Linked DNA regions of Kluyveromyces lactis. The protein of the gene in region 1 interacts with the protein of each later gene in a pairwise test. Links are inferred from orthologs where the notes say so. Each region holds a gene or a part of one and is shown on either strand. Other genes may lie near its edges.

Region 1 (2,696 bases):
GGAGGATATCCAGTGCCTGTGCTCATTTTTTTTTTCAATTCTTTTGTCTTTTTAACAATCTGCTGTATTTCGAATACCAGATCAGATTAACAACCGGCTTTTCAATGAAAAGAACAGAATGAAATAATCCCAAAGCGATTAGTCTAAATTGAGGAATATCCACCTATAAAAATAGTGGTGATGTTATCCCGCAGAAGCAATGAATTACGAATAGAAGTGCAAGAGTAGCCGCGAATATGGTGCTCGCTTAATGTCCTCGATGAAATGGAATTTCAAGTAGTTTTCAACAATTTCAACTTTGAAGCCTGTCGAAAAGTGTAAACATCAACAAGTGCGGGTAACATTGGTATTAAAATGATGAAACAATGGTGATAGTATATCCTAATAGCTGCACAGACATCTAGTTAATACGGAGGCATCATCAGAAATTATCCCGGTACCAGCTGAAATTACAATTATCAACATATCGAGTAATATGTTAAGTTGAAAGAAGATACATATAAATATATATATATATATAAACTAAATTAAAGGGAAGGAGAAGTCCTTTAAGCAGTCTTCCAGACATCTTGTAGACCAAAGACGGATGTAGCGACACCAGCCAGGGCGACACTTGATTCGTCATTACGCAAGAATTGCAAGTTATTTAAGACAATGAAAGTATCGATAGAATCCCAGATTAGTCTTCTGAATGCGGCGAATCTCTCATTGTAGTAAGCGGTCAACTTTTCAGAACTAGCCTTTTCGGTTGGTGCATTGCCCTTAGAACTCAAAGAGGCTTCGATCTTTCTTTGAGAAGTGTACAACTTACGGACATCGGTGATCAAACCAGCGATCAACGCAACGAACCAAAACCAGTTTGTGTAACGAGGAACTTTCTTGGCAGTAATAGGAGTAGCTGGGATTAACTTTAGGATGCGCAACAAGTTAATTTGATCCAAAGTTAAATACCCAACATAACCCACATTTTTGATTATGGACAACCATCTAACCCATTGATCTGGAGCAATCTTGTTATCGTATAATTTGGCTGCGTCCTGGATATGATTCAATGGCTTGAAGAATCTCAAAATCTTTCTGACAGACGTGAATTCAGATTGTAACTGTCTATTCAAACCAGATCTGTATTGAACGGCAAGGAATCTAACCAAGTACTGTAGCAATCTCAAGATCTTTTCTCTGCCGGCTGTTTTATTCAACAAAGAAATGAATTTGGTCAACGTAGGATGATAAATAACTGTGTCTAAAACCATTTTTGTTTGTAAAACTTATAAGTTTAGATGTGGAAGATGACTCAGGATAACTGGCTCAGTATTTCAATTGATTTCTGAAGGAGGTAGAATATTGGAAACAGTATATTCAAACAAAGCACTAGAGAGAGATTGTATCGCAGGTGCAACGTATTTCAACAGAGTCTGATGAGATAGGAATACAAGGAGTAGTGAAAATGCTTAAAACTGCTTGTCTTTATTTTCAGCAGTCATTTTCTACTTTATATATAAATATATATATATATATATAAAGTGTGATGTTATACTTCATATGTCAATGGGCATAGATCAAAGCAGGGTCAACAGAAAATAGTCAGGCTCTACGGTAAAAGGAGAGGATTTCCACTTAGCAGCGAAACGTACTTTATTATCAACTTCTTTCGGGTCCCCCACAAAAAATGGGAGGGACAAGTCAGAGCTGCGAAGTTACTAGCACGGAAGATCCTGCTGTATTAAGGACATTTGTACCGGGGGAAGACATGCAACAATAGCAATCTTACTAGGTGAAGACTGGGATCCCGGGAAAAAGGGCGACATAATATTTAGTATGTAGGCGCACATTTTTACGTGTATTTCGGACCAAATGTCCTTCCGCTAACAGCTTGAAAAGGATGGCCCGATTTGTTCCGAAACTCGAGAAAAAAAAAAGGGACAACGAGAAAGCCATGTATGCGAATCGTGTACAGTGATATAATGACGATTTTGTAGTGTGCAAGCATCAATCACGTGATTTATATCATCGAGATGCATTTCCTCTCAACATCGCGAAACACGTAAAAAAGAATCGTTAACTAGCGAGCGATGTCTTCTGCTTTATAATACTGCGTTCTTTTCTATTGTTTACATTTAGAGCCATCAAGCCCAAACCTAAAATCATTTAAAGCATTTGTATATCTCATATTGAAGAAACGCCAAAAGTAAGATTACAATTCCAAATACCAGCCTATATTTTGCCGGTTCAGCTTCCTGAGAATCGCCTTAGATTTATGCCGAGATGGGATACTATGATATAGATGATATACTGGCTGATGGTACTAGATTTCCCTGTAGATTCAACTATGACGTTCCTGGGTTGGGTTATCTGGAGGGAAACCCAGGCAGACCAATATCGAAAAATGCAAAACTAGAGTTACCACTTTGGATGGTCCATCTTCTTGCTGTAGTGGGTGCGCAATCTAATGAAGATTCTAGAGTTGAAGAACCTCTTCCTTTTGTCGAATTGCTCCCGCCTGATTTATTCGCTCCAAGAGTACTAAACGCTATTAAATCTGGTGCTACTAGTCTCGATCTTCACTCAATTAGCCCTCATTTCTACACCCTGGCTGAGAAGTGGGCCACACTGTTCTCGGATAAAGAACTATCACAAGTCTTGAAAGATATGCTACTAGAAAGAGGTCAAGAGATCAATAACCACGCCATCAGTGT
Region 2 (3,094 bases), about 500 kb from region 1:
CAATGAAACTTCGTGAAGTATCATATTGGATTGCCGTATTTAAGAACAGTGTACAGATATAGCCTTCTGCATGTATACGTATAAATACCTTCCCAATTTTAAAACGTATTAGAAACGGTCAATTATTCCTATGACTCAACAGCCCCTCTATGAGTTGTACATGTCTCATTTTATTATCTCTGGAACACAATTAGCATGAACGGTAACGTACGATAAATTGGTAACGGGCTAAGCCTGGAGTGCTGAATGAAGAATATCGATGTATTAGAAGAGCGTAGAATTAATAATAATAATAATAATAATAATAATAATAATAATAATAATAATAATAATAATAATAATAATAATAATAATAATAATAATAATAATAATAAAATAAAAGATTAAAGGTAAGATAAACAGCAGGATTGAAAAACAATGATGCTGAGAACTGGATTTAGAGGACGTAGAATCATCGGAAAGACTGTCCTTGAGATAGTTTATCGTAGCTTGTGAAATGCATTGAAGTTGATACAAAGGATTACAGAAAGGAAAAAAATGTCAAGAGGCAAGAATCAATCTTGCTTTGGCTGTATCTTTGGAAAAAGGTCGCCAATGACTTGCAATTCGAAATCAGAGAAGTCATAAAGAGGAGGTAAATGTTTAGGTTGTGAACTTCCGCTAGGGAAGAAATAGCGCTCATTTCTTAAATCATCAAAGAATGGATGTGCAAGGATCCTTCTTGGAGAAGCTCTTCTTTCAGGTTCGTATACCAACACACTCATCAACAAATCAACACCATCTGGTCCAGCGTAGCCGAAATATTTCTCGAATCTTGCTTTTGGAGCTCCTTCAAATAATGGCTTGGAGAATAAAGGTCCATTGTACGATGGATTAGAAAAAAAGATGAACCTTTTGTCAGGAGGCCCGAGTAATTTTGTGATTTCATGTAGTTGTAATAATGGTTGATGGCCTTGGAATACTGCTTTACCTAAGAGCATTTCTCCCAATACACATCCTAATCCCCAAATATCTATCTTTGTTGTGTATTGTGTACATCCTACAATCAATTCTGGAGCTCTATAATATCTTGAACAGATGTAACTAATCGATGGTTGGTTCGATTCTAACTTTTTCGCTGATCCAAAATCACAAATCTTCAATATACCCGTTTGTGGATCAACCAAGACGTTTGAAGGTTTTATGTCTCTATGGCATATTCCTAGTGCATGTAGGTAAAGCATACCTCTAGCAATTTGGTAGGCGTATAGTTTAACGTGCTTCAACGGTAACTCCAAGTTATTCTTCTTATATCGTAAAATTTCGTTTTGTAGCATTTCGGGCAAGCATTCCATCGCCAAATGTTGGTATAATTTATGATCTGTTGGTGAGATATGAGTGTAGAAATATTCCAATTTGACAACATTTGGATGGTCCGCAATTCGTAAAATCTCTAACTCTCTAGATTTATACTCAGTCTGAGCAGGAACCTTCTTAATGGCAAAAGGACCCAACCACTTCTGATTATCCGGTGTTAGGTAAGCTTGCACCACCGTGCCAAATGCACCTTGCCCAATTCGCTTATATTCCTTTACGAGCATTTCTCGCTTGACATTGGATTTATTACTGATGACATCATGAGCCACGTATTCATCTAATCTTTGCATAGACATGGCGAATCGCAATAAGGGGAAAGAAGACAGATAGTAACAGATACAAAAGCGATGCGATATCTATCGAATAAGAAAAAAATTACCACTTTTTGTTCGTTGTATTTCGCTCAAGTCTTCAAATTACAAACTTCAACCGTTATTTTGCAAGCAAACCTTAGAATATAGATATGTTCCTAACGGATGTAACGTGGATGGTTCAGGAAAAAAAGGGAAATATTGAATTGTAATGAATCAATAAAATCTGTATTAAATGAATTGATGAAATGAAATCGCTAATATTAATAAAAGCAACACAACAGGGGGAAAACACTCTTACTCAAGCAAGTCAATTAGTCCCTTGCAACAAGTGATGCAGCAGTGTCTATAATGTTTCTTCGCAGTAAATTCTTCGCGCTGCAATCGCTCGGCAAATTCAACAACTAGAAGTTCCCAGAACTTAAACGTTTGAGCACCCTTAGCAGTGTTGTGTCCGTTATCAGAGACCCTATTTGTTACTTTGAAACAAGGTTCTGGTTTATTTTTTGTTTGTTTTTTCCTAATTTCCTAAAACTAAAATTGATTTTCATATTCGGTTTTCCAAGAATCTGATATCAATATGACTGACTGACTACTGACTGAGTTACACAATTATTGATAAAAGCGATATAAAAGACGTTCTAATTGAGGGAACGTTCCAAACAAAATTTAATTCTAAGATCTCCCAGAGCCAGCTTTTATGAAGTTCGACTCTGAGAGTACTACACTCTCTCTAGATATGAATGCACAAACGAAGTTAAATTGGCATTTATAGCATTAATGAGGAATTACTCAGGTTCAGGTCCTATATCCTCCACCTGAACTTTCTCTTGATTGTAGCATCAAGTTGTAGAAATGGTTTGGGGAATGCGAGGTGATCTTCGCCAGTCTGCATATAATATTTCTATCAAATGTTTACCCCATCGCATCTCGGCACTCTTTATCAACGTGATATCTTCCGCCAGTGGACTGCAGGCACTTCACATTAAAGGCTAATCCTTATACACCGGGTAATGACAAGTTAGTCACGTGTTAATGCAACACCGGGTAATGGTTTATGAGCATATCTTGAAAATGAATTGGGAAAACAGAAGATATTTAGAGTTTGCATTTCATAGAGGAATACTATTCGTCTGAGTATGGAGACCTGCATTCGAGAAAGACACAGGTTGTGGTTAATATAAATCGGCGTCGAAAATACACCACGATGCTGAGAACATTAGTGAGACTGTTCAGCTCAACGGCCAGGACAAACCAAGATGTGGCTTCCATCTTATTTTCATCTGTCAAAGGATCAGAAAAGGCTCCAGTGATGGAAGACACCAATGTTGTCCAACCTAATACTCTTCGTGGTAGCAATAAGAAAGGGAGAGTCGATGAAGCAGTGATAAAATATATATTGAACTGCAGATTCACTAAGAACAATA

The links.
Region 2: the proteins of PEX11 (region 1) and MCK1 interact in a protein complementation assay, tested with the Saccharomyces cerevisiae proteins (2 studies listed by BioGRID). The link is inferred for Kluyveromyces lactis from reciprocal best matches to the Saccharomyces cerevisiae genes PEX11 and MCK1.

Annotation. Positions count from the first base shown.
Region 1 is NC_006041.1:176,966-179,661, forward strand, and holds PEX11 (Pex11p), read right to left. Parts: upstream 1,254-2,696; coding exon 549-1,253; downstream 1-548. Other genes in the region: SPT20 (Spt20p), read right to left, coding at 1-26; DNA replication protein PSF3, read left to right, coding at 2,266-2,696. UniProt on the Saccharomyces cerevisiae protein: Involved in peroxisomal proliferation. Promotes peroxisome division and biogenesis.
Region 2 is NC_006041.1:672,136-675,229, forward strand, and holds MCK1 (serine/threonine/tyrosine protein kinase MCK1), read right to left. Parts: upstream 1,653-3,094; coding exon 555-1,652; downstream 1-554. Other genes in the region: MRPS18 (mitochondrial 37S ribosomal protein YmS18), read left to right, coding at 2,875-3,094. UniProt on the Saccharomyces cerevisiae protein: May be an autophosphorylating tyrosine kinase, a bifunctional (serine/tyrosine-specific) protein kinase, or a serine kinase that is a substrate for an associated tyrosine kinase.